4 linked regions of the Arabidopsis thaliana genome follow. The protein of the gene in region 1 purifies or fractionates together with the protein of each later gene. This does not show direct contact. Each region holds a gene or a part of one and is shown in the gene's direction. Other genes may lie near its edges. The genes, in order: AT1G54440, AT2G07110, AT1G60080 and AT5G38890.

Region 1 (10,101 bases):
ACCAAGACGTAAAGCATCAAAAGCTACATAGTTTGCTTTAGAAGGAATTGCAACAACATCAACTTCAGCCATTTTCAGAGTGTGTAATATTTTCTGGTGGAAAGTGATAATTGTGTTTGGGGGTGATGGGAGATGATGATTTTATAGTAGTTTAAAGGAAGATGTATAGGAGGTTTTTGCTTTTCTCCAGTTACAGTTTCGATTTGAGATATTAAAAGTATGAATTAAATTGCAAGTAGTGGAATTTTGTAGGAATTAAGCCATGTATTTAAGTACCTTTTAGTGAATAACTGTTGATGTTTGAGCTTCTGGGGAAGAAAAATACGGAAAGCTCCAGCTCGTCTTTAAGTTCTTCAGCTCGTCTTCAAGCTCCACATCACTCAACGACCATCTCCTCGCCTAGCTGTCAGCTAGTCAGCTCGTCCAATTCCTCACCTACTCGTCAGCTCGTCCCTCAAGTGCACAACTCATCTATCTCCTCGCCTAGCTGCCAGTTTGTCCATTGACTACACAGAAGGAGTATACTGGTTTATTTGGTTCTTTTGACTAAATCTTGGCCCGATACACCTCACTAAGTCTATTTGGTTCTTTGGCTCATGGGCTTTTTGACCAAATCGTGCCCCATACTCCAGCTCGTCTTTAAGTTCTTCAGCTCGTCTTCAAGCTCCACATCACTCAACGACCATCTCCTCGCCTAGCTGTCAGCTAGTCAGCTCGTCCAATTCCTCACCTACTCGTCAGCTCGTCCCTCAAGTGCACAACTCATCTATCTCCTCGCCTAGCTGCCAGTTCGTCCATTGACTACACAGAAGGAGTATACTGGTTTATTTGGTTCTTTTGACTAAATCTTGGCCCGATACACCTCACTAAGTCTATTTGGTTCTTTGGCTCATGGGCTTTTTGACCAAATCGTGCCCCATAAACATCACTAAATCGTGCCCCATAAACATCACTAAATCTATCTCACGCATAGAAAAAAATGTGAAGACAGAGTAAAAACATGTGGGCTCCACATTAAAAAGATGTAGTGACGTGGACACTTTTAGAGGAGAGAAAACTCTGCTATTATATATATGATTATTATTTGAACTGCAATATATTTTATCTGTAGTTGAATTATATATCTTCATTCGTCTTAGTATATATGTATATATATATATATATTAAATTGTACTATTTTTATTAATATTTATTAGAAAGAGAGGATTTTACACAACATCAACAACATTATAAACATAAACCCAAGAAATTTAACCAGTTACACAAATCAGATATGAGAAATAGCAAAAAAAAAATTGAAAGCTACGATTATATAATTTTTAAATTTATAACAACTTTCATGCATCAATATTTTTCAAAGATTTGAAAAATTGATATCACTATAGAATCTTCAAAATGTAGTCTTCAAATCTTTTGTCCTCCGTTGATGATAGTTAGACTTCAAAACTAATAATATATATTTCATGAATTGGTTTGACGGAGCTTCGAAAGAGACAAAGATAAACCGTCTAAAGGATCCATGATCAATTTGTCGAGTGAAAACAACATGGATTTAGTATAAAAGAAGTAAAATCAGACCAAATTTAGATTTATTTGGTCAAAAATTTCTGGTGGAGGAGACTAACAAAAACTGCCCAACAACAACACTATAGCCAAACTTTAAGGAATCAACAGATCGAACCGAAAAAGGTCAAGAAAAACATTGACGAGGATAATTTTTTTTGAAATACATAATCCAAAGCAAACATGCATACCATATTAGATAATACTATTATTCACTTTTTAAACTAACTGGTCACACAGATTGAAGATATTTTACCGTAATAAAATGGAAAGTAAAAATGTTATTATAAAATAGAAATCATTTCGCCGATATTTTTATCCTTTGACAATCCTTGCTAAAATTTATCTACTTTTCGTCTCTAAACTTGTTTCACCAATTGAAAAAACGATTATCCCGATTTGTGGCTCTTGCCTCTCGTCTACCGGCTTATATTTGCAATCTGCAACATATCGTCGTCTCCCTATTCCATACGTATCAAGCGAGATATGTTCAGTCTCTGACTTGGCCTTCTAATATTTTGAAAATTTTGGAATGCTTTCTTCAAGTGTATGAACCATATTGTATACTTCGAACTCGACTCTGATACTGACCTTATGGGTCCCCATCTTGCAACTCTTTCCGTTGTGAAGAGCATACTGCTGCAACCCTCCTCCTTTACAAAGAGAACAATTTGCTCCTTACCCTCCTTCATGAAGAAAACTGTTACAATGTGGTCTCCGGTCTGGAACCGTCCATTCTTCCAGTTGTTACTATCTTTTGGAGAAGAAGTAATACGTCTCATGCCGGTGAGAATTGAGGTCTTGGATTCCTTTTCAAAGTCAAATTGTCAATCGACTATGATTATTTACGACTTGCTTGTGGATGTAGTATCGACTTACGATTTTCTCGCTTTTGTCTATGTGCCTTATCGCTCATGTCTCCGAAAGTTGGATTTATCGTCAAGGTATCTATTCAGTTTATATTATGCTCTAATCAGTGTATTAAATTTTGTTGTCTTAAGTCTTGGTTGTGATGAACCCTTATTCTCTCTAATTCCTCTTATCGTATGAATGGAAAAATCAGTCTTTGCACAAAGAAAGGATATGTAATAGTGAAAATTTTCTTTTCTAATATGTAAACTGAATAAATCAAAGAAATAAAAAATTCGGTCCATCTTCAGATCATAAATTCATATGTATAAACAAACAGGACAATTTAATTTAAGATGTTAGACAAACATGTTTAGGTGTCGAACATGACACTTTAGTTTTCTCTCTAATAAAAATTTCTACATATTTTTATTTAATTGTGTGTTTATTTTCATAAATACATGTCTTACTACTCACATCTACAACAATCACATGTCATTAATATAGTATATATATACAATAAGAGTGACAATTTATAATAGCTTTCAACATTATGAACTTAACTGATTGTGCTTTTTATTGCTAGAATTTTATTATAGATATGTCAATTATATTTAGAATCGAAATTTATTTTCTTTCATATCTCCACAGCTTGTGTCCTTTATGACCGTTAATCTTTACCGCTAATTTTTGATTTATTCATAATGGTAAGATTATTTTTTTGCTTTTTATTTGATAATAAAGCAGATGATATGGTATGATGACAATTTTTATATACCTTCTATTAAATGTATTTTTTTTAAAAAAATTGGTGTGATGATAATTTTTTTAAAAAGGTTTTACTGTATTTAAATTTTCTAAAAAATACATGTAAACATGAAAATACATTAAGATAAAATGATAAACCGTTAATTTATTTTTCTGATAAGTATTCTAAAATCTACTTATATATCTAAACTTATAAAACTTAAAAACAAATAAATAGGATTTAAAAAATAAAAATAATCATCATGTACATATTTGGTATGGAATCCAAAACAAATACAAAATTTTGACAAATGTCACACAACATTGATTAGGTGCTTATCAAGAAGATTAGCTCCTTATCATGATTAAGCTTTAATACGAAGACTCATTTCTTGACTAAGACTTGACTTCAATGGCGATTCTAAAACCCTAAGCGAGAATCCAAAAATGAGTGAAGAAGATCACATTGCTTAGGTGAAGAAGTCTCCGAAGAATCTCTCAAAACTATCTTCGTCTTCTCTTACAATTCCGACGAACAGAGATTTCCATTCTCTCTCCAAGTCCGACGAGTTCAAGCGTCCGATCGATGAGTTAGCTTGGAGCTCGCAGTCTGTTCTTGAGACGATTGGTGGTAAGAAATCGATGAGATTTGATGATCCCATGGATGAGTTCAAGAGGAATCGAAAGATGGAGGAAGATTCGAAGAAGGTAATCGATGTGAAAGTGGCTGAGAGTGATAAGGGATTCGCGAAATTTGGCAAGGCAGAGGTTCCGTTTCATATACCGACGTTAACGAAGCCTCAAGAGGAGTATAAGATTTTGGTAGACAATGCTAATAATCCTTTTGAGCATGTTTTGTTGGAGAAGAGTGAAGACGGTCTTCGGTTCATTCATCCACTGGTTAGTTTCGTTGTCTCTGTGTTGATTCGTAGCTGTATAATGTAATATCTCGAGTGTGGAACTGTAATCTTTGATTTGTTTAGGTTACCTTTTTCTGTATGTGATTTTGTTTGCATCTCTGTTCTCGTATTGTAGGAGGAACTATCTGTGATGGACTTTGTTGATAGAAATCTAAGTGAGATGAGACCTGTTAAGCCTCTCCCATTGGAAGAGACTCCATTCAAGCTAGTTGAAGAAGTCAAAGATCTTGAGGACTTAGCTGCTGCATTGCAAAGTGTTGAAGAGTTTGCTGTAAATTTTCTTCCTCTGATTGTTTTTAGTCCGATGTGCAATGTATTGTTAAAATGTGGCACTTTTTGGTAGAGGCTCTTAGAAGTTTGCTTGTGTTATAATGAGAATGAGCTTTCCTTAAAGTATCTGTCTCCAGTATATTGAGTAGACAAAGAGAACTTAATTTATGAGTTAGGATGATGGTATCTCTTTCCTTATTTATTATATCTTGTTTATCGTTCTTGCTTGAGTTTGTTGTCTTTTATTCCTTTTGTAGGTCGATCTGGAGCATAATCAGTATAGAACTTTTCAAGGATTAACATGCTTGATGCAAATCTCTACTAGAACCGAGGATTATATTGTTGATATATTCAAGCTTTGGGATCACATTGGTCCTTATCTAAGGGAACTCTTCAAAGACCCTAAAAAGAAAAAGGTTTTCTCCATAATGCGCAATGTGTTTTCTACAGAATTCCTAGAATATAGTTAATACAATATGAAACCATTTAACTTAACTAGGTAATCCATGGAGCAGATCGAGATATTATTTGGCTTCAACGGGACTTTGGCATTTATGTCTGCAATCTTTTTGACACAGGACAGGTTTGATTTCTGGTTATTTTGTTTTGACATGGTCATATTACTTGGAGGTGTATGAGATCACCTTAACAGAACCCATTTTGGTAGTAATGTAGAAGAATGAAGACAATTTATTGGAAAAAATGAAACTCAATTTTTCTTCCTTTGTTTTTGTCTACGCTCCAGAGAGTAGAAATTTGAAAATATAACTCTTCTGTCCCTGTATTCCTTTAATGATGTTCGTGACATTCTTGTGGCTATTAAACGATAACTTTGGTCTGAAGGTTCTTAAGGTTTAAAGTGTTATTAAATCTTAAGCAGTACTTTTTTGTTTTCTGTCAGGCTTCAAGGGTGCTAAAGCTGGAGAGAAATAGTCTGGAATTTCTTCTGAAGCATTATTGTGGAGTTGCTGCAAACAAAGAGTGCATAACAATCCAATCTTAGTTAACTTTTGTTCTTTTTGCATTCTCATTATCTCACTCTTCGTTCAATTTCTGTTTTGCTAATTGGCTGCAGATACCAAAAAGCAGACTGGAGAATAAGACCCCTTCCAGATGTAATGAAAAGGTTAGTATATTCTCTGTCTAGTCTCTCTCATGATTGCTTTGCATTGGTTGAGTTGAGCTAACACATTTGCATATAATGGCAGATATGCTAGAGAAGATACACATTATCTTTTGTACATTTATGATGTAATGCGAATGGAGTTGCACACAATGGCAAAGGAAGATGAGCAATCTGACTCTCCTCTGGTAGAGGTAACAATCAAAGTCTCCCGAATTCTATTGGTATTTCTTTTTCTAGATTTTGATTAAAGGGAGACTGATAGAGTAAAGAAGATGCTATAATAAAAAAACACCCACTTAATTAGACGTGACTCTTGTTCCCTTCTCTTTCACCCAAATTTTAAAAGAAACCAAACATACCATTCTGCTCTTTCAATATTTAATAGAAATATTATGCCCAAAGTAAGATCTGTATAAAATAATTCATCCCCCTCGGTCCCTGCTTTAACTTTGGTTTCTTTGATTTTTCTAACTGATCCTTCCTGATGTCTCTGTGTCACGTATACGGTTGTTCGTTGGCACATGAAGATCAAGCATCAACTCATTTCTATTCATAATCTTCTCTTTTGAGTCGAGTGGGTCTATGCTTGGGATTTTTCAGTTTTCGATAACCATTTTGACGAAGTTATCAATGCTAACAGGTGTACAAGCGCAGTTATGACGTGTGCATGCAACTATATGAAAAAGAGCTTTGGACTAGGGATTCATATCTTCACGTTTATGGGTATGTTGCTTATTGTCCCCCTCATGAATCAAAATCTACGCTTTAGTTTTAATTGTTGCCTGGTGTACCTGTTCTTTGGCTATCCTGTCAATCGTTTTTGTGCTTTTATATGGAAGAGCAATACCCGATTAGGTTTAAAATCTTATGCATGGCTTATTAACTTAAAATAATCTCTAGTATGTGTTTCCATTTTGGCATTTTGTTAGGGTTCAGACAGGTAATCTCAATGCGGTTCAACTTTCCATTGTTGCGGTATGCTCTCAATTTGCGTAATGATACAAGGCACCCTTCATCTACCTTTCTTTTTACCATATGAAGCTTACATAATAGTTGCTGAGCTGCAGGGGCTTTGTGAATGGCGGGATCGGATTGCACGCGCAGATGATGAGAGCACCGGTTATGTATTGCCAAATAAAACTCTTTTTGACATAGGTAGATAATTTACCATTTCATCTCCAGGTTCTTGGATATTTGTCGGTGGTTCCTAATTTGGTCTAACTCGTTTTATTAAATAACAGCCAAGGAGATGCCAATTGTTGTTGCCCAGTTGCGCCGTTTGTTGAAGTCAAAGCTTCCTTACCTCGAGCGTAATTTTGACGCAGTGATCAGTGTCATCAGACGATCAATGCAAAATGCAGCGGCATTCGAGCCAGTTGTTCAATCTTTGAAAGATAGGCGTCCTGAAACAGTAAGATATCTATTATGTTATGAATTAATAGTATAACTCCTTTTGGTTTCTTTCTGTTTATATAAGGAGTACGAAAAAAATGTGCTTGCCTTCTAATTCTGGAGTGGTTTTGGCAATGATTGCTGTTATCGAGTAGATATGTTTTGAAAAATATGTATTCTTAAACCGTAGGTTTTAGTTGTGGTGTAGCAGTGATCATATATATATGATGCTTGCTTGATTGAAACAAGGTGCATTAGGAACTAAATCGTGCACCCTTCAATAGCATGTGAACTTGCAAAGAAATTATAACTAGAGGAGAGTTATTTGCAAGTGCTGATTGCTAGATGTTTCTTAATAGCCATGAGTCGTGAAAGCTTTATTATTGCATGCACTTGGTAATTATTTATAGTAAAAAATTTCTCTTTGCTCTGTCTTTTCTTGATTTAGGTGGTTGAAATGAATATAGAACCTAAGATTGAGAAAACAGACACAGGAGCTTCAGCGTCTTCTCTGAGTCTGGAGAAGGTTTGTGTGGATGATTCAAAGAAACAAAGCAGTGGTTTTGGAGTTTTGCCGTTAAAGAGGAAGTTGGAAAGTGACAAAACGGTGAGGTTGTTATATACTATATAGTGTGAGAAGAGAACTTTACATATGTGTTTTAAAACTGTAGGTTTTTAGTTAAAGGGTATGTGCTTACCTGCTTGGTGAAAAGCAATTAGTAGTGATTATATATGATACTTGCTTGAGTGAATAGATTAGGTCATATAGAACCAAGTTTATTAGGAACTAAATCTTGCACCCTTCAATAGCATGTGGGCCAAAATACTATAACTAGAGGAGACTTATTTGCAAGTGCTAATTGCTAATCCAAATGTCTAGTAGTTTCGTGGTGCGAAACCATGAGATGTTACTTAAGAGCCATGAGTCATGACTGCTTTATTATTGCATGCACTTGGTAATTATTTATAGTGAAAATTTTCTCTTTGCTCTATGACATTTCTTGAATTAGGTGGTTGAAAAGAATATCGAACCTAAGATTGAGAAAACAGGCACAGAAGCTTCAGCTTCTTCTCTGAGTTCGAAGAAGGTTTGTGTGGATGATTCAAAGAAACAAAGCAGTGGTTTTGGAGTTTTGCTGTCAAAGAGGAAGTTTGAAAGTGATAACAAGGTGAGGTTGTTATATAGTGTGAGAATTGTACTTCACATAGAAATTTGTAAACACCGGTATCAATTGATTACATTACTAATCTGCTGAGAAAGAAGTTGCAGGTAAAAGAAGAGGTCAAAGTGTCCAAGTCCAAGCCAGATAAGGTAATCATAGTGGTGGATGATGATGATGATGATGATGATGATGAGTCTTATGAACAGAGCACGAAAGCCGCTGATGCTTTGGACAGAGTTTCGGAAACGCCTTCGAAGGGATCACCATCGTTGACTCAAAAGCCGAAGACATGTAATACAGAGGTTATTGTGTTAGACGATGATGATGACTCGGAAAGCAGAGAAGATGAAGACATGCGTAGGAGAAGTGAGAAACATAGGAGATTCATGAATATGAAACGTGGCTTTCTTAACATTTAGAGCCCTTTCATTAGCTTTTGTGGTACATTATGCAATGTTTTGGTCGGTATCTTCAGACAATAGACAATCTATCTTGACTTGTATGTGTATACAACAGGTAGTCATATGTTTTATATATGTTAATTGAATTTTTGATTAACCAGAAACAAAACATTGCTCTTAGTGAAAGCAAATCCAGACTTGTCTGGACCAGACATATTTTTTAGTGGGTACGGGCAACTATTTAAAGAAAACACTACATGCTATGTAAATATAACACAGCTTACAACTATTTTTTTGGAGAGTTATGGAAATATTTTTTTTATAATTGTTTATACTTTGTAATTTTTAGTCGCTCTTGAGTTCATAAACAAAACTAAAATTACTTGTTTAAAATTGAGCAAAATATTATGTTTTAAAAAACTTTTGTTTTTATTGTTTACAAACCATGCTAAAGAACTACTATATTATAAAGGGTAATATTAGTAACTAGCCAAATGCTGAAAATTAAGTAACTAACCTTTTCTCACAATGACCAAACTATTCCTACGCTAAGATGATTATTACTTCTCAACAACACTACATCATCGTCCATTAATCTCATTTCCAAGTTCCAACCATGGTTCGGTGGATCACCGATGACAAAAAAATACCTCAGTTAATTGGCTAACAGATGTCTTACGGATAAGTTCACGTACTCATCATCGTCAATGACTAGGAGGGAGAGAGAGACAAAGATCGGAGCTCACATATTCATCGTCAGTGACTAAGATTTCATGTGACTTTGTTAAATAGCATGAAGTATTGATAAATATGTAGAATTATTTCAAGAATTCAAACGACTCTATTGAACAACATGGTTTATATGCAGAATTTAGAAGATTTCATGTTACTTTGATAAATAACGTGAAATATTGATAAAATATGTAGATTTCTTTCAATAATTCATGTGATTCTGTTGAATAACATGGTATATATTGCTAAATATATGTAATATATAGATCTATTAGTTTTAATAGCATGTTTTATTTTTAAAATACATGTGTTTTGAGGTTTAGATTTATTCCCTTCGGATGTAATATTGGTGAGTGAAAGAGGGATCTAGCATGAGATCCAGCGAGTAAATAAATAACAAGGGGTGAGAGTTTCAACGAAAGGAAGAGATTCATGATAGAGATGTTTGTCTCACTTTATTAAAGAACATTGAAATATAGAATTCCTAAACCAAGACCAAATGTTTAAATTTACGAAATCTCATAAAATCTAAAGCTAAGAAAATACAGAGTATTTCTATTATATTTACCTTTCTTATAAGCGGTAATGATGTTAATGTTATAGGGATTAGGCTTCACGATTGGGTTTTAATTTTATTAAATAGATCAAATTTAAATTAATTATAGAAGACATTGTTTTCGCGTTTATTACAACACCACTAAAAACGTTTATCCACTTTTATTAGGGCGAACGACCTGTGTCCCCCTCGGAAGTTTCATATAGCATTAGAACTACACAAAATTTCAACCTCGATCTTGGTCTACACAAATAAAAAGTTCTAGTCCTATTTCTCCCTAATTTGAAAGTTCGAAACCTCAAAACACATAAACGTTTGATTAATTGGTTTATAACATAAACTGATATTAAACCACTTAAACCAATCCTAAACCAAATTAAAA
Region 2 (6,147 bases), on another chromosome or scaffold:
CTTCTCTACAAGAAGAGGTTTGATCATAAACTTTTAAAAGCTGTGTTTAAGGCAAGGAACAATACTGAGCATTTGAAACATCTGACAATACAACATCTTAATGAAATATCAGTTCAAAGCAAGATAAATTTTAAAAACACACAGACTCACACAAAAGAGAGAGAGATTACATGTAGACCAAACTTGGAACATACAAACTAAGAATAGTTGGCTCACATCCACTGGTTGCATCTTCTCCAGAATCAATTTCTTTGACTCTATTGTCTTCCCCAACAATGTATACTTTCTTGGACTTGTTCTCGTCTTCGTCTTCCTTCCAACTCACACAACAAATGAAGACTTTCTTCTCCTCGTCTACCAAGAAATTTGAAGTAAACAAGGCTTGAAGATCCCTGCTCAAATCCAATACTAAGACCTTGGTCCAAGAAACTGCTCCTTCGGTGGTGTCATCAATCTTATTTGTCACCCATATCTCAGCCTTGGATCTCTTATCTCGTCTCTCCTCTAACAACGGAAAGACGATTAGCACCATTCGAACTACGGGCGTGAGAGGGAAAAGGAAGAGACACAGGTGCAAATTTCTCTGTTGAAAAATCGTAACTGTGCAAGGATAGGTGTGAAAGCCCATTTCTGTTACAGCTCTAGCAAGCATGTAAGTATTTCGCTTCAAAGACACGCACTTACAAGATTCATCCAAGTACCATTTTGGAAGGATACCATTAAGAACCCTCCATGAATCAGAGTTCAAAATCGTATTCCCAAACTTTGCTACCACTACGATAAAACCCCATGATTTTGTAGCTCTTTTTGCAGGATATGTTCTTGTCTTCTTCGTGGGTTTGGATCCACTTGGTTTCACCAGTTAACGGGTTCCAAACAACCATTCTACGTTCGAGTTGGGAAGTGCATAACAATAGGCCGTCACAGTGAAAGACTCTATCTATATCGAATTCATCAGCAGAGTTCTTAAAATACGGATCTGGTAGGGTAAGCTCACCTTTCACCTCTGCAGATGGATCAGCTAGGTCCATGGAGATTGACGCCTATCAGACAAATCCTGAAGTTCTTCCTCAACATGAAAACCAGAAACTCCTTTGCGGCGTTATCGTAGTGCTTTCTTGCGAATCTCTTGTCGTTGTGGATCAAACGGTTCCATGGTTTGCAAGTAGCTCAAACGTTTCAGATATGTGGCTGGAAAAAAGCTGAGAATCTCCTCTACCAACTCATTTGGAAGATTCGGCATCGTCATCGTTAGTCGCCGAAGAAAACGGCAGCAGGTGGCTCTCAATGTTATGTTATCATTTGATCTATTAGGATAACGTGGCTCTTAATATTATTTTAGGGTTTTGGTTTTCAGCTTTCCTCTTTTGGTAATTTTTAAAAAATTAAACCGATGCGCAATATTTATGTTTCCAAGGGAATTTAAAGGCGATTTTTTTATATTGATTAATTAAAAAACCATTTATTTGTTTTAAAAAAGTTTAAATTAAGTTTATTTTCAGACATTTAACTTGTATATGTAGAGAAATTTGTTTAAATTAAACCAATATTCAATACTTATGCTGCTCTAGATTTGATGTGATTGATTAGTCTCAGTGTTGGTATTTTGTGAAAAAGTTTAGAACTAGTTTTCAAGTTGATCAATGAAGCTGTAGAGATCACATAGGCAAAACCATAGTCATATAAAAATTAGGTTATATGTTCTGTGTCAAACCTACCGACCAACTACCTTTAGCTGAATTACAAATTTACAAATTAAGTTTTGCATCGAAATCAATTCTTGTAATCTCGTATAATGGTAATCAATCTAGTTTCTTGCTAGATTCTGCTGATTAAAACCAATAGATCTTCTCTATTTTTGTCGTAAACAGGTTACAAGGTTAACAATTAAAAACAGAATATATAAACAGAATATTTCTCCAAATATTGTCTTCTTGTTCTTAACTCTTAAGAAATGAATTTTTTTTCTTATTTCTTACAAAAATATGCAGTTCTTATTGAAAGATATATTTCTTTCTTTTTTATAAACAATTTAAAGAATAATTGTTTTTTTATTTATTCCTCAAATCTATGTTTTTAACTTCTTATCCTTGAGAAATAATTATTCAGTAATTTTATTATTGGAAGATAAATCTCTTTCCTAAATAATTATTAAGAATTATTTGACATTTACTTTTAAGAATTATTTAATATTATCCCCAAAAAAGGGTGTTATTTCATTTTCGTAACAGATAAAAATATTCCTTTTCTTATTTATTTGAGTCGTACACGCGGTGGTATATATATAGATTCTCCTCTAAAGCCACCGAAGTCGGAGAAAGGTAATGGCGTCGGGGAAGCTTCCGTGGGAGTTGGAGGAAGAGATACTGTGTCGGCTTCCACCTGGATCCCTTGTTCGGGTAAGATCCGTATGTAAACACTGAACGATCTTCTCAACGACAAATGGTTCATCAAGAAAAGCTTGGGTTGTGCACGTCCCCAATTTATCATCCTGCCCGAATCCAAGATTTATTCGATAGGAACCATCGGCCTGGACGACTTTGATCCGAAGATAGAGGTGCGTGAGCTAGCCTGTCAATTTCATTTTAAGGCTGAGAAGTGGGCATTTACCAGGATCACGGCTTGCGATGGATTATTGTTTCGTGACTTTTGGAACCAAGGGGTTACCATTTGGAATCCATGGTTAAGACAGGTTGGGTGGATCGAGTATAAGGAGGACAGAGATTTCCGTTTTTGCGGTGTAGGATACGATGCTTGTAAACCCGAAAAGGATTACAAGATCTTTGGGTATTTTAGTCGTTTCTATGACACTACACTGAAAATCGGCCACAGATTTGCGATCTTTGAATGTGCGTCTCAAGCGTTTAAGTTCATTGATTCCCCGGAATGGCCAATGCTGGCAGGTCGAGGTGAATATGTGTCCTTGAATGGAAATTTGTATTGGACTGCTTACAATGAAGATACTCGTGAGCATTTTCTCGGAAGCTTTGATTTCTCCACAGAAATATCCATGCACTTTTGTCTCCTTCCTTGTGGGAAGCATGTTTCTGGCTTACGAGATAAACTTGTCCTCACTGTATTTAAGGGCGATCAGTTTGCATTGTTAAAGCAATCTCGTATATCAAGTAATACAGAGATTTGGGTAACAAATGACATGATTAACTCTAGTAATAATGTGGTGTGGTTAAACTTGATGACACTGTCAATACCTGATTTTCCCTCGCTATTCCATCAGCTTTCTGATATTAGTTACTTCATCCATGACATGACCCTTATCCTGTGCTGTGACGACAATCAAACTGGAGTGGGTTGCATCTTTATTGCGAGGGGAGACTTCTGCAAGAAGATTCAAATAGATTCTGTCTCTCTTGGGTTTTCTCAATGTGTCCATCTTCCAAGTTTGACCTCGGTTCCTTTGGAATTCAGATCACTGCAAGTTTAGAATTTCGATTTTTCGAGTACAAACAGTCTTTGAAATGTGATTCTTTTTTCATGTCTTTTATATTATACTAGATAAATACCCACGTGTAGCGTGGGTTTGTTTTGAAAATTGTGAAGCGTGAGTTTGTTTTGAAAATTGTGAAAAACAATTATTGATTGTTTTTGCTAATTTATGTTTATTTTTTATTCGTTATTATGTAGTTAATTAATAAAACTAAAACTATCTTATGTAGTTACAATTTTTAAGATTATATCTTTTTTTTTTACTTGAAATATAACTCGTGAAAGACTTACTTGTCAGCTGAAACCTCTTGCTTATTCGCGTAATATCCTTCATCGTCCTCATGGCTCTCCTAGTTGGTCAGAAGGTACTTTATCAGCTTTCTCAATATCTATTATGGGTACAAAGTTGTTTTTATCCTTTTTGAATGGGATACATGGAACTCTCTCGTTTATATTTTCAGAGGATACAAAAGTTCTATCTGCGCAATACGGACCTAAAGCAAGAACGAAGAAGAACGAAAATGCTGAGAAGGCTTGTTTGAAGTCATATGGAAGCCTTAAACCGGATAGATTGGTAATCGTAAATGCGTTTAGTTTTTCAGAAAGAGGCTTGTTTTGTCGCTTGAGTATGTAGTACAGGTGATTCTTGGTTTTTAGATGTGAATTTCTTTTGCTTTGAATATTGATAGGAAAAGTTGAAAAAGAGTATGAAACGATACTGAAAAGGACGCTACAGAGTATTTGTGTTTTGAGAGTTGTTCCAAATACCACCACCTCAGTGATTATTCAGGTGAGTAACTATTCAATGTTGTGTATATATATATTGTCAACTTGAGTTGTATCTGATGTTTTCATTTTGTAATTTCTGTGTAGGTTGTACATGATGGTGGTTCTGTATCGTTTTTATGTTCCTTTCACCTTGGTAAACATTTACTAATGCTGTCTGAAACACATATAATCCGGTATAAACAATGTCTGTTTGAGTATTTATAGAGTTTATAGTAGTGAAAGTTTGTAATCCCATAAACTGAGAGTGTGAATATGTTTTTGTGTAACTTCTACCGTGGCCTCCATTCTGGCAGTTAGAAGGTATTAAACGTTTGTTCTAAAGAAATATGATGTACAAAAAGGGAGACTATGAAGGATAGAATTTACGAAGTCGAGAAATTTACCTTGAGATTCTTCTTCTTTCATATTGAACGATCTAGCAGAATAAAAAAAAAAATACAAAACAGTCATACAAAACAGTCTTTCAAATTACTTGTTTTCTTAGCATAAATCTCGAATAGCTTAGATATATTTAATTTGCATATTTATTTAGTTTTTTCATAATAATCATCTAATTTTTAGGCAAGGAATATGTGTATCATGTTTGGATTTTATTTTTTTCTTCAAGATTAGTTTAAAAATTAAATTAGTTTTAAATATTAACTGTTAATTAAAATAGTTAAACTAATGATTTTAGAAATGAGAATTATTTAAAATTTTTAAATGAAAAACTCAAACTTTAAGAAATCATTTCTTAATAATTTCACTATTACTTTTTCATAATTAATTTAAGAGTTAAATTTTACGGCACAAATTTGGCGGAAATCAAGCTAACAACTATCGTTATTCCGATTTTCAATATTTATATCATGTATGTTTAAAATTTAAAAATTTAGATTAATTATTAAATTTTATGAAAGAAAATATGTGTAATTTTTAATTTAATAATAGTTTTTTTGTTTTTTAAGAAACCCGCTTAAAGACCTACCATTGGACGAACAAAAAGTTAAAAGACCAACACAATTCCTTAAACTATAAAATTTTAAATCTTAGTTGGTAGCTCCACCGTCCGCCAACATCTTCCCTTTGAAGTAGATCCTCTATTTGTTAGCCAAAATCCCCTCTTTCGCTTCTCGAAGAGACTTCAATTTCCCGATTTTGGGTCATGTTACCTTTGACATCGATTGTCACAGTTTGACTTCCCACAGTTTTCACAAAAAACATGCATGTCTACAAACATAAAAACACACAATTATCAAACATACATTATTTTTCTTATCTCCATTATCAAACACACTGAAGCTAAGAAAACAAACAAATAAAGAATTCAATTACTTAAGGTTTTTGAATCAGTAAATAAGACATATATACATATATATATATATATATATTTATATGTATATATATCATACTTAATTTACTTATTTTCTTAGCTTAAGCAAAATAATTTATGTAACTTTTGAAGAACTAGTGAGAAATATTGTGAGTTAGAGAAAATGAGAGATGTGCGTTTATTTAGAAGGAATCTAAGTGTTACATTTTTCATTTGAAACTTCATATAAAGAAACTAAAAACAATAATGAAAGAAAGAACACCAAAAATAGTTCTTATGAGAATCAAAGCTCATTATCACTCTCATTTTCCCCCTTACCTTGAAAAACATCGGATGGTGCATGCGGTCTTTCTTCTTGAAAGAAATCATTACATTTTCATTTCAATCTAAAGTTTCCAAATACAAGATATAAATACAATCTTTTTATTTTATTTGAATTTCTCGTATAAGTTGTGATCATCTCATGCGTTCCTTTTTAAGAGAGTATAGATAAACGTGTGCCATATAAAGGATAGTAGTTGAACAAAACAAAAGAAAGAATCGTAAAATTAAGTACTTTAAGAAACTTATGTTGTGTCTTGATGAATCTCTCACATTCATTT
Region 3 (7,522 bases), 1.8 Mb from region 1:
ATGACCATACGAAGTAGCCTCTCGTGTCTGATCCATTCCTATACGTTGTAATGTATTTTTTCTTGATTACAATGATAAAAAAAAGTGAAGAGAAGAAGCAATAAGGAACTTTACTTACCTTATGGATTTGAGCACACCACCAATGTAGGCATGCAAGTATTCCACCCTTGGTATATCCTTCTGTTTCAGCTGCGAATCTTGCTTCATCGGTGTACCTATTTGTTGCCATTGGAAAGTGAATTTAGCTGAGGATAAAAAAAGAGAGAGATAGAGAGCGAGCGAGCGAGAGACCACTCTCAAGAATGTAGACAGGAGGATTTCCATAGCTCTGCTTTATATACTCCAGCACAACTTCCATAGCCCATGGAGTATTAGCATACTTGTTTAAACAAAAACAAAACAACTTAGTAACACTATTCTCTATCAAGACTAAAGAAATCTTAGCCTCAAAACTCCTACCTGAAAATCTAAACTTTTTCCAAAATCTGTCTCTCCCAAGAAAGAAAGAAGAAGAGATGATTAGCAAAAACAAGATATCATAAAAGAGAAAAAATCTTGTTTTGTTATTTAAAAGATTGAGTTTGATTCATACAATGAAAAGATACACCCATGTATGAGTAGAAATCCGGGTTTCCGGACAGAGAAGGTTTGGATTTGATGTTAGTGACAGAAGCCGCATGATAGTGTATGACTCCTACAAAGTCACATGAGCCTTTAACTTGTTCTGATTCTTTCTCAGAGAAAACTGGCAGTCTTGATCCAATGGTTCTTTTCATTGTATCAGGATAGTCTCCAAATAAAAGAGGTCTAAGGAACCTGAGTTTTAAAGAGTAAATCTTTTTTATTGAGATATGTTGAACAATATTTTGGAACAGTTTGTGCCTGACTCACCAGCCGACGTAGAAATCTTGGGCTCTTTGGGTTGCAGTGGCATCATCCTTGGAGCTTGTAGTAGGAATAAGCCCTAATATGAATAAGCTAAATCCTATGGAACCTCCCTGCTTATCCTGCATATTATATATACTTTATAGTGTGTTTCTTCTCACACATTCAAGAGAGGGTTATGTAATATATACCTTGTATTTTTGTTTGTATCGTCTTGAAACAGAGGCGTGCGCAAGCAACAAATTATGGCCTACAATATATGGTTCAATGGAAGAGTTCCCTGAAGAACAGTTTTTGCTCGGTTTGGAACAACGACCAGGCGGTGTATCCCCATCGTTGTAACCTCCTATAGAGAATATATTAGCCTCGTTGATCGTGGTCCATAGTTTGACATGGTTCCCAAACTCTCTGAAGCAAACATCTGCATAAGTAGTAAAGTCTTTGCTGCAATGGCAAATAACATCAACTTTTGTTATTTTATCTTAAACTACAAAATCTGTAAGAGAAAATAAGTAACGCCTACATCATTCTGTGGTTGAGCCATCCTCCATATTCATCCTCCAGAGACTGAGGATGATCATAGTGGTAGAGTGTAACATGTGGTTCAATTCCTGTAGTAAGTCTACTTAAACTCTAGTTAATACGAACTAAACCTAACTCTTGAGTCCTACCGTGGATATGAAGATAGGTCTTACCGTGGCTTACTAACTCTTGGATGAGGTTCTTGTAGAACTGTAGACCCTTTTGGTTAACAGGCCCTCTTCCATCTAATCAGATAATAAATTACGAACTGATCATAAATTTGATCCCTTCACTGAGCTATAACATGTTTAAGAAAACTTACTAGGTATTAGCCTAGACCAAGAGATGGAGAATCTGAAAGCATCTAAGTTAGTGTCCACCATCAACTTCACATCATCCTGTATAAATTCATAATGAAACTCAGGCTTGATGAATAAAACCTCATGATGTAGTCAGAGAAACAGAGAAGCTAAAGAACCTTGTACTTGTGATACCCATCACATGCTATATCTCCGTTACCTTGGTCACCTGCAATGTTAGAAACAAGAATCAAAGCACAAGAGTGACAAACTCTAATACTAATAATAGTTTGTGTTAAAATGAAAAGCTTACGAGAGTGACAAAGAGTGTCCCACAGGCTAGGTTTCCTTCCGTCTTCTGCAGCAGCTCCTTCCCACTAGTAGAGACCAAACATTTGGTTCAGTTTTGTTCAAAAGTTAAGAAAAAAGAAGCTCATAAATTGGTTCCAAACCTGATAAGCAGAAGTGCCGGCTCCAAAGACGAATCCCTCAGGGTAGTCAGATCTGCTGAAAACGTCGCTGCATTTCCCGGAGAAAGCAAAAGCAAGAAAAATGGCAAACAGAGCCAAAATCTGTTCCATTTCTCACACACACACACACTCTTTTCTTCGTTCCATGTTAGAATAAGTAAGTCCAGTAGCCATTTGCGTACCCGCTAGATATAGTTGTGACGTAGACATTAATGATGATGCAATTTAGATAAGAAACATATTGGGAAGTGTGTTGAAATGAATTATGGTCTTTATTTACTATGATAAGAAACAGATTACGCTGGATCGGAGCCCAGGTCTGACCAACCCAAATAACGAAAGAAACTAGGGGACCGGAAAACCATGCGGCTATGCAGCCCCAGCCCCACATATATGAGGGCTTTTGGGCCAAAAAAATATTTTTGGACTTTTTGTTACATTTCAATTTTTTTTGGGTATTCCTAAATTTTTGTTAATAGTATGGACTATGATATAATAACTTTTGAGGTATTAAAGTAAAAATATTTGGTCCTCTTATAAAGAAAAAAATATTTTATTTCATAAAACTTAATAATTATTACAAAGCATAAAATATTAAACATACATTATCTTAAAATTTTAAAATAGATGTGAAAAAAACGGAATAACGATAAGTTTTTCTGTTGATTGTTGCAAATTTCAATATACGAATACTTATAACGATGTTTTGAATTGAAATTTTCTACGAATACTTATAACGATATATATAGTAAAAGAGAAATTTCTTAACTTATAATTAAACACCATTAAGTAATGTATGGAGGATTAACAAAATTGGATATAAAACAAGAATGTATAATGTTCATTTTGACGCCATTTCTTCTTCTTCATATTTTACAATTTACACTAAACATTTTCCCAAATTCAGCTCATAATCAAGTGCGCCTCATATTTTCGCCAAATTCATCTAATTGAAAACCCAAATTTCAATATACTCATGTCTTGTGAAGCAAACAAATCTCTTATTTCGCATTTCTTTGGGCTTCGCAACATTATTGGGCTTTGTTTGGGGCCCATTTAGAATGAAGAAGTACTTTAGTTAAAAACTCAGATAAACCTAGCCGTCGTCACCGTCACCGTCTCCGTCGAAATCCCCATTACTTACGACACCGCGAGCTCTCAATCTTCTTCTTACACTCTATTGCTTGTGTTTCCTCTTCACTACAACAGTTTCGTGTACCAAAGGCAGTTCTTTCTTTTGTCCCAAGGTAAGCTTTGTGATTCCTTGAGACTGTGTTGATGAAGCACAGACTCAGAGACTTTTGGTTTATGATTCTCTTTATCTTTGTGACATGAAGCAGAGCTAAAGAAAACATGGGAATACCAGATGCAGCTCAAGACTTGTCGACAGAGATGGAAGTTGATGCTTTTAGAAGAATCTTCCCTCTTCGTTTCTTTGAGCGTCATCTCTCTGAATCTCTTCGTCCTGATGGAAGACAACTTGGAAAAGCTAGAGACACCATTGTTAATCTTGGTATAAACAATGAAGATTGATTCTTTTTAGTTTTTATCAAATTAAAAATGTCAACTTTATAGTGGTTTCTTGTGTTTGTTGTAGGACTTGTTTCAACTGCTGATGGGTCTGCTCTTGCTAAGATTGGTTCCACTGTAAGAACCCGCCTTAGTCGTTTCGATAGTATTCACATGATCAGCAATGTTTTGCTTACATAGTTGTTTCGTGTTTATAGACTATGCTTGCTGCTATTAGAATGGAAGTTATGACTCCTTCTACGGACTCTCCAGACGAAGGATGCATAGGTTGTTATCTCGTTGTCTTGTTCTCTATGTGGTTTGTTGTTCTTCTTTGGTGATTCATTTTGTGATTCCTTTTTGGTAGCTATTGAGTTCCATATGCCTCCAATTTGTTCTCCGACTGTTCGTCCTGGAAGACCAGCCGAAGCTGCTCCCGTTATTTCAAAGCGTTTGTCTGATACTATTTTAAGGTGTGTTTTGGTTTGATCTTTCTCTTTATATTTTCTCTGTCTCATTGAGCATCAAATACAATGTTCCTTCTAAAAGTGTTTCTTTTTTGTTCTAGTTCTGGTATGATTGATCTTAAAGAACTGTGTCTAGTTAGTGGAAAAGCTGCTTGGATGGGTTATCTGGTGAGTACTCGTTGGTCTTATATCGGTGCTTGTCCGTCAGTTGATTCACATCTATTCTTCTAGGGATCTTTCTCTTTGATATTTAACTGAGTTCTCTAGCATATATATGAACATTGTTGCTCTCTGAAATTTCTCATAGGACATATATTGCCTGGATGCTGATGGTGCTCTCTTTGATGCTGCTCTGCTTGCTGCTGTCGCAGCCTTCTCCAATCGTAAGTTCTTCTCTGTTCTCATCCTTTAGTTGGTTTCACAGCTCCTTTAGAGAACCTTTGAATAAAGCTGATTCTCAAGTTTATCAAATCCATTTCGAATATGAGTAAAAAGAGCAAGCCTTAGAGAACACTTAAATCTTGCTGAGTGAGTCATACCTGAGTAATATTCTTCCCTGCACAATAGCGGTTTGTTCAGAAGTTGTGTGATTGGTGTTCCGAGACAGAAGAATTTTTCCTCTGATGCATAAAATATCTTTTATATTGCAGTGCAAATTCCAATTGTTGCTCTGAATGACAATGGAAGAATAGTTGCCGTCACTGGAGAAAAAGATCAAGACAATGCTTTGATCACCGAGAAAGAAGCAGTGAACAAGGAGAAGAGAAAACTTACGCTTAAGAACATTCCTTTCTCTTTAACTTGCATACTTCACAAGAACTACATCTTAGCAGATCCAACAACCGAAGAAGAATCGATCATGGACACTCTTGTGACTGTTGTTTTGGATTCCTCGGATCAAATGGTTTCTTTCTACAAATCAGGAGGAGCTGCTCTCGCCTATTCATCAGCCATCAAGGTGAGAGTTTTAGCTTTCTCTTAGGTTAATCCACCACTTGATTTACACCGTTTTTTGTTTCTTATAAAGTTGCTATGCGCAGAGCTGTGTCGAGTTAGCAAGGAAGAGAGCAAAGGAGCTTAAGCAGATATTGGGAGAGATGGATATCGACTAATTTATCAGATGGAACGATTCCATAACATTGTTGAAATTTTGTGTTACATATTTTAATCAGATCACCAAGTTACCCATTTAGAGGCAAAGGAAGAAGCTCTTCACCATTTTTGTTCGATTGTGTTACGGTTTTGTTTGTCATATAACGACTTTAATTTAGTGCTAGTGTAAGTGTGAGATTATATTATCTCCATTTCAAACGAACCGAAATGTGCGTAAGCTGATTAATTTTACAAATGTTCAAATCAAAAGCAATTAACAAGTTTGTTTGTTGACCACCATCGCAAGTTTGTTTTTGATTAGGCTTTTCTGAATTTTTTTATGTTATAATGTAAGGGTATGTTAAAATATTATTCCATTTAAAAGAGGCATTGTAACAAGAACCATTCTGAATCTGTGAAAGAAATATTCCATACTAGACGAGGAAAGTCCTCGAGAGACTAATTAAATACTAAATAACATAAAATCATTCTGAATCTGTGGAAGAATCATATGCTAAGCGAGGAACTTCCTCCAAAGACATGAGACTCTCAGTGTGATTATGATAATAGCGGACCTCTCTTACATTTTTATGATTAAGCTTCCAGAATTCTTCGTCACCAATTCCTTCATATAATCATATTTGACCCTCCTTACTAGGGTTCTTTTTGGATCATAATATAAGACATAAATTGCTTCAGATGTTGTTGCAGCTGTATAAATAAACTCACCAGTGGATCATGAGTAATACCTCTCAGCCCCCAAGAAACTTTCCAGATCGGGTCACGTTGAGGAAATTTTCTAAGTGACCGTTCTTGTTTCTCTTCATCCTCCAAAACCCAAAATCATTTACCAGAGACGTCGTCAGAGCAAACCCATGCAAATTTTCCTTCGTAGTTGAGGAAAAATTTGCAAAGTAAATTATCAGCCGCTGATTTTCTTATTGTGTTGAACTTTTCGTACCTCACATCGAAGCTCATAAGGACTTTCTCAACTTCAGAACTATCATCGACTCCAAAAGGTATACTCGCTTCATAATACACTTCCCCGTTGATACATATACTTTGTATTAGTCCCTCGGCGGATAGAGGGACATGTTTAGGGGTATTTTGTGTCACTCTCCATGATTCTTGAGGTCCCAAAGTAAAAACAAGAGGATCTTGGTATCTAGAGCATGAGATGCACAAGACTTTATACTTACCCTCGACCGGATCATATCCTAAAGAGCTACATTCAAATGCGACTTTTGGTAAGGTAACATGTTGTCTCATGATTGGATTCCAAACTACAATATGCCCCAAGAATCTCCCAAACATATCAAGCCATGGACCGACTGGGACCATTCGTGATAATCAAATATGAGAGTGTCTTTCAGATAACGCTCCACATGTGGATAACATGATCTGTCCGGATTTTCATGTTGGGGCATTGCGCAGAAAATACGCTTGTCACTTGTTTTCACGCAGACCAAAAGACACAACCTAGTTGAAGACTGACTCGCGAACGACCTGATGAAATCTGGATGAGTGGTGATTGATGACCATAGCTAAGAGACCCAGTGGAACCTCGCAGCAGATTTAGCAGGAAGTCTCAAGAGTATATCAGGAATTAGATCAAGAGGAATCATCTCGAGAAACTTACAAAAACTCTCATCTTCTTTAGATTGTATACTTACTTCCCTATCTTCCGCCTCTTCCTCTACTCTATCCATTGGCGTCGATCCACTAGTTTTTTTTTTTAACCCTAATTTTTCAACCCTAAGTTTTTCAAACCATTATAGTAGTTGTCATCTCTGGACAAAAGGAACAAGTCAATGCATCGATCACCGAAAAGGAAGCATCGTACAAAGAGAAGAAAACTGAAGATTAAGAACATCTCTTTCTCTTTAACTTGCATACATCATGTTCAAGAACTACATCTTAGCAAATCCAACGACCGAAGACGAATTGATCATGGACACTCTAGCTAGTGACCATTGTTTTAAAAACCATACTCAAAATGTATTAAAAAAACAAATAAAAGAATTTTACATTTGGTTGTATTTGACAAAACATATCAACACTTTAGATTCTTGCGGTAAGTCAGAATTCTTACCAGAAGAATCTAAAACTTTGGTTCACTGATTCATGAGAACTTTGATCCGAACAATATTTACCTAGAAAACTGATCTCACCCTCATCAATACTGATCTTGATGAAAGTGAATCTTACAAAAACAAAAAAATAATGATAGATTTGCACTTAATTACTGATAAGTAGACTAAAAGAAGAACGATGAAAT
Region 4 (7,033 bases), on another chromosome or scaffold:
TGAATCACTTGGGATATTACCATGTTGGCCTTGAGAAGAGTTGTATATATGGTTTCAAGTTCGGATCTGCGAGCATCAAATTCCTCAATTTTCTTCCACTTCTTTTTCAAGGAATCTTCGGCTTCTTTTCTTTCTGCACATAATTTATTCAGCCGTTGTATTTCAGATAACAATGTGTTTAAGCTAGCCCTCAAACCAGCAGCTTCTCTTTCCTTTCCCCATACATCCAACTGCAAAGATAAAATCGGATCGTTTGTTCAAGCAAGTAAATCAGCATATATATTAAACATAAAATGAACTTTAATGATAACTGAGAATCAGTCATGCAGTGCCTGCTACATAACAAGTATAAGAGTGTTTGGATTGTAAGATTTGTACAGGAACATGATTTTGTCTTTTTAGATTCAAGTGAAGGGAAAAAAACTAAAGAAACCAAGGGAGTCTGGCATCTACCTCAAATTGCCTAAGATTGCTACCACTCTGTGTTGTGCCTCCAACAAACGAATGAGTAGCTGTATCAGCACTTCCATGCAAACGGTTAATAAACTTGTGGCATAAATCACGAGCTTCAGCTGCTTTGTTTAGTGCATCTTCAGTAGCCAAAAATTGTTGAACATGGGCTTTCTGGAAAAAGTAGCACAGGTGAAAGTTAAGATAAACAGACTTTAAACATATAGCCATACAGTGCAACATATACAAATACAGCACTAGAAGACCAAAACATATCTTTCTGAATTAAACATTTGCCTGAAGCTTAACCCTCCTTTCTCCATATCTTCAAATTAACAAGAAGAAACCAGCAAAACTAGACATAGAAAGCAACCTGCCGTTCAAGGAGCTGGTTGTTAGATCCTTGGAAATGAGTATCTGTGCCTATCTTCCCGTTTCCATTAAACTGATAACTCAAAGGGGAGCTCACATCAGAAGAAGAATTGTCTGTTACACGGTTGTTCTCAAACTTATACCTGCAAATAGATTGACATCCAATTGCTTATGTTAGTCCAAAGCAACCCTGGAACAAGAACTTAAGAAAGCAGAGACGAAAACTGAAAACTTATAAGAGACAGAGATACAATTATCATTGATCAGACATATCTTAAAGGGAGTCCAGGAACTTCAGCATAAGTACTAATTTGCTATATGAGTTTCATAATCTTCCACTTGTGTGTCAAGAAAATTAGCAAAAATAGCATGCAAGGTGCATTTGGGTGAACCATACCCTGCAGAATCAGGAGTGCACAATAACAAAGAGTGGCATAAGAAGGAAAGTCAGGACACACCTTAACATTTCAGCATCTGCTCTGACATCAATCTTCTCCATCTCTCTGGATATCAGAGTCTTAATGCGTAAAGTGTATGCAGCAATAGCCTGAAGCAGCAGAGGAGGACCCCTCAGGGAATTTACTATAACAGTTTTCATCTCATCAGTTATTTCTCCATCATACTCAAAACCCAGCTTGGCAGTTTCCAGCTCTGGAAGTGAACAAATTCCATTTCCTTCGTATGCAGGGAAGGAGTTACGTATTCTTTCAATCATGCGTGATGCAAGCAAATCACATACTATCCTGATATTTCGTTCTCGGGTTGTTTCCATGAGAATGACATCATCTGCAGACTTAGTTCCTTTGACAGTGGAATAAACAGCTTCCCTCTCACTGTTAGCACTGAGGCTGCTTAACACTTCATTCGATGAATTGACAGACCGTTGTGCATCATTTGCTTGATTAACATAGACTTGTAGCCTTTTGTGATACTCTGCAAATATTCTTGTTGCTTCATCACATTGTTGATCATACGCTTCCAACAATGCTTGCTTGTGTCTGAAAAAAGGAAAAATAAAACTCACTAAACAATTTGAAAGATCTACTGAACATAACTACAACAAATATTTTGATTTGTTGTATGAACAGAATCAATGCATTTCAACATAGATAAATGCTGTTGATTGAGGTTCATGAAGAGGGCAAAAAGACAATCAATATCGCCATACAAAAGTGAGAATCTTAAGAATGGGCGATGTGGCATATCCATGAAACCAGAGAAACAAAATAGCCTGACTAAATCCCATATATTCCATTCTAGGGTATATTAAAATCATTGGAGAATCAACAAAACGAAAGAAGAATACTTCAGGGCTATATATCTATGGCTCCTGAAATCATAGAGAAACGAAATCGAAATACCACCAAAACTCTAAGCAGCTAACCATACTACACATAGCAACCATACTTGTAATGGTTCTGTTGAGGACTTAACACTAACGATAATAAAGCATAACAACAACAAGAGAAAATATTAAATGAACCTGAGCTGAGTGGTGCAGGTTATTTCTATTGTATTATTTTACAAGTGAGAAGCAATGTATCCAAATACAGTATTCAAAATTGAAAGATTCAAAACAAACCTGTAATTTGCTCTTTCATCAAGCATCCTCTTCCGCTCTGCTTCTTCTCTAGAGACCTCCAACATTCTAGCTTTCAAATCTTTTCTTTGCCTCCTCACTATGTTCCTCAATCTCTCCACTTCCTTTGCAGCTAATTCCCTTTCCTGCAATGCAGCTTCTCTATCCTCCGCATAACTCGAACTCTCACCAGTCACTGTCTTATCCTTCCGCCTTCCTTTACTCTTACTCTCCTCCTTCCCAGGATTTACCGAACTCCCAATGCTAGCATTACTACTTCCCCCATGAACCGTAATATTCCGCCTAATTCTCTCCACTGTCTTCTCCGATTTCACTCGGTTTATCAAAAAATTCCATATAGGTATCATATTCCCTCTACAAATCTTCCTTATAGCATCAATAGAAGGAACATGAGATTTGCTCGATCCATTATACGGACCTAATTGCCTGTACCCCATTTCCTTCTGTAACCATTCTAATATCGCCTCCGGTGTCGGAGCCGAGCTCGATAAACTCTGCATTCTCTCTACAACTACAATACCTAACTCAATCCCTCAAATCTTCATGAAACTTCCGAAATTTCTACTCATACTTTGCGCCTTTTCTTCAAATCCAAACAATCAACGTAGAGAAATACCTAGGTTACTCAAATCGAGCGAAAACAGGAGTTCATAGACGCTATAAACCTAATACAATTCGCGAAATGCAGCAACAATCGAGCGAATTGGTACTCTGATGAACACAGAGACAGAAGGAAGACGTAGACAAACAGATCTGGAATCCCGACGACTAACTCGCCGGTTCCGGTGACGGTAGATGGAAGATTGTGACGGAGAGATGGATCTGGATAAAGAGATTTCAAATCGAGGTCCCGCTTGTTTATTGGATTTTCAATTAAAGGAATCAAACTCGAATTTTTCTGCAAGTGTCGTCGACTGTTGAAAGTTGAAACTGGGTAATAACCGCGTCGGACTCGGGTATGAGATGTATCCGGGTCGGACTAAGGTATTTAAGTCTAACCGGGTCGAATTGGGTAATAAGAAAACACTATGGGTCAAAATTAGAATAGTTTAAAATTACAACCAGAACATTTAGGGTCAAAGTTGAATTTATATAACACTAAAGGGATGGATTCCGAATTGTTTTAATTTTCTCAATCTAAAACCCAGAGGTTCCTTCCTAGGGTTTTGTTTGATACTCTCAAATCGGAAAATTTTGAAACAATGACGACGGGGCTAGTAACGCCGGGAGATGTAATCGGGAAAGCGACAGAGTTTAAAGCTGGAAAAGGAGCTTACGTCAACGACGCCACCATCTACGCTTCCCTCACAGGAACTTGCCGGATTGTTTCTCCTCTTCCCGAATCAATTGATCAGGTTTCGTCTTTGTTCCAAGTGATTAATTCTTCTGGCACATCTATTCGTAATCGAAATCGAAATCGTTGGATTGTTATACTTGTTTTTGTGATTGTTATGGATATATAACTTATTGGATGATAAAAATGGTAAGCAGAGAGCTATTGTGGAAGTTACAGGTCACAAGGCACATGGTCCTATTCCAGAGACTGGTTCTGTTGTCATAGCAAGAGTGAGTCCTGCACTTATTTCATTGGATTCATTGATGTTCATACTTGGAAAAAAAGAGAGTAATTTCATCACTCACTATTCTCTGTTATTCGTGATAGGTGACTAAAGTTATGACTAAGATGGCTGCTGTTGATATCTTGTGTGTTGGTTCAAAAGCCGTTCGTGAAAATTTTGCTGGTGTAATTAGGTGAATTTCTCATCCTCCTTTGGTGTTTATTTTCAAGGTTTGTTCTTTTATGTGTCGATCTAACTTGTGTTTGCTCTTTCATAGGCAACAAGATGTTAGAGCAACAGAGATTGACAAAGTTGACATGCATCAGTCTTTCCATGCTGGTGACATTGTTAGAGCTATGGTTGTATCCTTGCGCTTATGTTTCACACTTATTGTCTAGTAGTACAGTGGTTAACATTGTTTATTAGAGGAGAGACAATTCTAAGATTTGTTACATTATGCCATTTATTTTCTCTTTTTACTTACATATCTCTTTGTATAGTTTAATTTGAATGTAGCGTAGGTGTAGTCTATAATAATAGATGATGTTTTGGGTGATAATATCTGAAGTTGCCTTAACTTGGACTCTTAAAGCTGTCTCTTGGTGATGCACGGGCTTACTACTTGTCAACTGCTAAGAATGAACTTGGTGTGGTCTCAGCTGAAAGTGCTGCGGGTAATTTTTTTCCTACTCTTAGAAACTAAATAAAGGGTAATGAGGGCAAAGATTACTAATTATATAGCTAATCTATCACATATCAAATTGTAATACATTTCTAACTTGTAGTTCTCATTATGGAATTATGAGTAACAAATATTTTCGTCCTGGACTTGGAGTATGTTAATGTGTAGATGCATTTGCTTCTTTGGGCAGTTTATAATACTATACGAAGTTAATTTCCGTTTGAGTAATCGAAATGTTTATGTGGTCTGGTGATTGTGCAGGCGAAACAATGGTTCCGATAAGTTGGACAGAGATGCAGTGCCCCTTGTCGGGCCAAACCGAGCAGAGAAAAGTTGCCAAGGTGGGTAATTGAATTCAAGACAACACTTGGCTTCTCTCACATAATGAGGTGTGGTCTCTGCAGCAAGACAGACATTTGAGATTATTACAATTTTGAGCTCTTCTGTTGTTTGTTATCAAGTGTAGAGATAACTTTAGACCAACTTGACCTTTATTCGACAATAGTCAGGATACTATTATTATTAGGATACTTACAACTTCTTAAACTCGAAAGACATTTTGTTGTTAGAATTTGAACATAAATCCATAACTCCAACAATGTGGAAATGCTAGGCTTAGCTCGGAACAACTTAAAAATTCATTCGATTGTCGCAATTTCTTGGTGAGTTGGTAGTATAAAAACTTAGCAGAAAATCAAGAAACAAACTTCCTAAGAGATGTAAATCTGTATGCCCTTGGTGCTGCCGAGAAAAGAAATGGTTTTTGTATACAAAAATGTATGGGTCACAATTAGAATAAGTTTAAGCTTTATAATCGAAACGTTTGGGGTCATAACTAAATATATGTAAAATTAAAGGGACTATTTACGAAACTTTCTGTTTTTCCCTGGTTAAATTTCGACCAAAAAGGCTTATGGATCAAAAGGTAGAAGAAGACAAAGACGAGAGAGAAAGGATCGCTATTATTCAGGAAACTTCATTTTGCACTTTTTCGACGAACCTGAAAAATCTTCAATTTTAGAATTAGTCAATACCGGAAAATTCCTGGGTTTTCTCTTGCTTCTGGATTTTCTCAGGTCTCTATCACAAAGGTACTCATCGATTCCTCTGTTTTTTGTTTTCCTTTGAAAGTTTCTTTGATGATCATTGGATTTTGATACCATTCATTACTGATCATCTGATGTTGATCGATGAGCTTATGATGGTTTTTGGGTTTCATCGGATTGATGCTTTTTATCTGAAAGGTTGATGCTTTTGCTCGTACATTAAACAATGAATCCTTAAAAAAACTGTTTTTTTTTGCTCGAATTGTATAGTTTTGTGATGTGTATTAGCTTATTCAAGTTTAGTTATTCATTTGGTTTTAGAAATGTTATATGTTTCTCTTACAGGTGATTCTACTGTGTAGGAGGAACAAGAGTTTTGCACCAAGAAGAGAGAGGAAGGATTCTGGTTTACGGGAGCTAGTGAAAATCTTCTGTGAAATTGGCTTTCCTCTCTCATTCTCTGTGAAATTTGAAAGTATTGATTTCGAAGATATGGGTGCTTTCTGTTGTTGCTTTCAAGTTGATCTCTTTGAGAGTTATGTGAATCCAAACACTTCCATAACTAGGAACTGTCCTTGCCTTAATTGCTTCCTCCAGAGTTTCATGGATTTGGTAATGTTCTTCTTCACTTTCGTCTTCGAATCTTTTGTTTCTTTGTAGTTAAAACTTTATGTTCGATTTTTTTTGGGCAGTATGCTTCGTTGTTTAGTAGAGGGGGAATGCATCCAATACCTTCAACTGTAGAGACAGCTACAGTGATGAATTCAACAACTGCACTTGATGACTCTCTGTCTAGTGTATATCATTCTCCTCCAACACCATTGCCTTACGATGCTGATCCTAGGTACTTTCGTTTTGTTAAGGGCTCTAGTCATTCAGGTGAAGAATCAGAACCGTTAAGAGGTGATACTGAAATGAGTTCTGAAGCTTTGGGTGATGGTGGAGCCAAGTGGAGTAAGTCTGATTCTGAAGATGGTTCGAAAGAAGTGTATACGAAAGGTTCATCAACCTTTACAAAGTCGAAAACAATGCCGGGGATAGAAGTTTATTATGCAGATTCGGATGATGAAGATATTTGTCCAACCTGCCTTGATGGTAATACTAAAAAATTAGTTTGATGCTATTGTTATTATTCTCTTTGAACCTATTATATGCAGTTTTGTTGGTAAAGAGTGTGTTAGGTTGTTAGTAGATCTTTATAAGTTGCTTTCTTGGTTTCATTTCTTCATTTAGTGCACTCCTGAGTCCTGAGCCATTAGGCCATTAATAGTATAGTTTACGTAGATGAGGCAATCGTTGCGAGTGCATTAAGGTAATATTGGTT

What was found.
Region 2: the proteins of AT1G54440 (region 1) and AT2G07110 fractionate together in Arabidopsis thaliana (co-fractionation; one large-scale study listed by BioGRID). This does not show direct contact.
Region 3: the proteins of AT1G54440 (region 1) and AT1G60080 fractionate together in Arabidopsis thaliana (co-fractionation; one large-scale study listed by BioGRID). This does not show direct contact.
Region 4: the proteins of AT1G54440 (region 1) and AT5G38890 fractionate together in Arabidopsis thaliana (co-fractionation; one large-scale study listed by BioGRID). This does not show direct contact.

What each region holds. Positions count from the first base shown.
Region 1 is NC_003070.9:20,319,483-20,329,583, forward strand, and holds AT1G54440 (Polynucleotidyl transferase, ribonuclease H fold protein with HRDC domain-containing protein), read left to right. Parts: upstream 1-3,553; 5' UTR 3,554-3,801; coding exon 3,802-4,059; intron 4,060-4,194; coding exon 4,195-4,350; intron 4,351-4,606; coding exon 4,607-4,765; intron 4,766-4,848; coding exon 4,849-4,932; intron 4,933-5,250; coding exon 5,251-5,330; intron 5,331-5,424; coding exon 5,425-5,475; intron 5,476-5,557; coding exon 5,558-5,666; intron 5,667-6,115; coding exon 6,116-6,198; intron 6,199-6,404; coding exon 6,405-6,450; intron 6,451-6,542; coding exon 6,543-6,630; intron 6,631-6,716; coding exon 6,717-6,886; intron 6,887-7,315; coding exon 7,316-7,474; coding exon of another isoform or gene 7,475-7,498; exon of another isoform or gene 7,499-7,877; coding exon 7,878-8,036; intron 8,037-8,131; coding exon 8,132-8,449; 3' UTR 8,450-8,527; downstream 8,528-10,101. UniProt on the Arabidopsis thaliana protein: Acts as an important epigenetic regulator through multiple silencing mechanisms. Involved in transcriptional gene silencing (TGS). Plays a role for DNA methylation in the RNA-directed DNA methylation (RdDM) pathway.
Region 2 is NC_003071.7:2,950,900-2,957,046, reverse strand, and holds AT2G07110 (exosome complex exonuclease RRP46-like protein), read left to right. Parts: upstream 1-3,838; coding exon 3,839-4,070; intron 4,071-4,133; coding exon 4,134-4,234; intron 4,235-4,317; coding exon 4,318-4,437; downstream 4,438-6,147. Other genes in the region: AT2G07120 (F-box associated ubiquitination effector family protein), read left to right, coding at 2,325-2,399, 2,456-3,442.
Region 3 is NC_003070.9:22,150,347-22,157,868, reverse strand, and holds AT1G60080 (3'-5'-exoribonuclease family protein), read left to right. Parts: upstream 1-3,225; 5' UTR 3,226-3,423; intron 3,424-3,516; 5' UTR 3,517-3,529; coding exon 3,530-3,689; intron 3,690-3,773; coding exon 3,774-3,823; intron 3,824-3,903; coding exon 3,904-3,973; intron 3,974-4,052; coding exon 4,053-4,158; intron 4,159-4,253; coding exon 4,254-4,320; intron 4,321-4,459; coding exon 4,460-4,535; intron 4,536-4,802; coding exon 4,803-5,110; intron 5,111-5,192; coding exon 5,193-5,264; 3' UTR 5,265-5,639; downstream 5,640-7,522. Other genes in the region: BGLU4 (beta glucosidase 4), read right to left, coding at 1-38, 119-245, 292-379, 460-491, 608-816, 892-1,007, 1,077-1,329, 1,409-1,496 and 5 more.
Region 4 is NC_003076.8:15,565,883-15,572,915, forward strand, and holds AT5G38890 (Nucleic acid-binding, OB-fold-like protein), read left to right. Parts: upstream 1-3,535; 5' UTR 3,536-3,624; coding exon 3,625-3,777; intron 3,778-3,913; coding exon 3,914-3,988; intron 3,989-4,085; coding exon 4,086-4,174; intron 4,175-4,258; coding exon 4,259-4,343; intron 4,344-4,573; coding exon 4,574-4,655; intron 4,656-4,924; coding exon 4,925-5,016; 3' UTR 5,017-5,287; downstream 5,288-7,033. Other genes in the region: AUG5 (HAUS augmin-like complex subunit), read right to left, coding at 21-230, 454-624, 824-965, 1,281-1,820, 2,405-2,922; AT5G38895 (RING/U-box superfamily protein), read left to right, coding at 5,393-5,422, 5,573-5,754, 6,072-6,321, 6,402-6,804.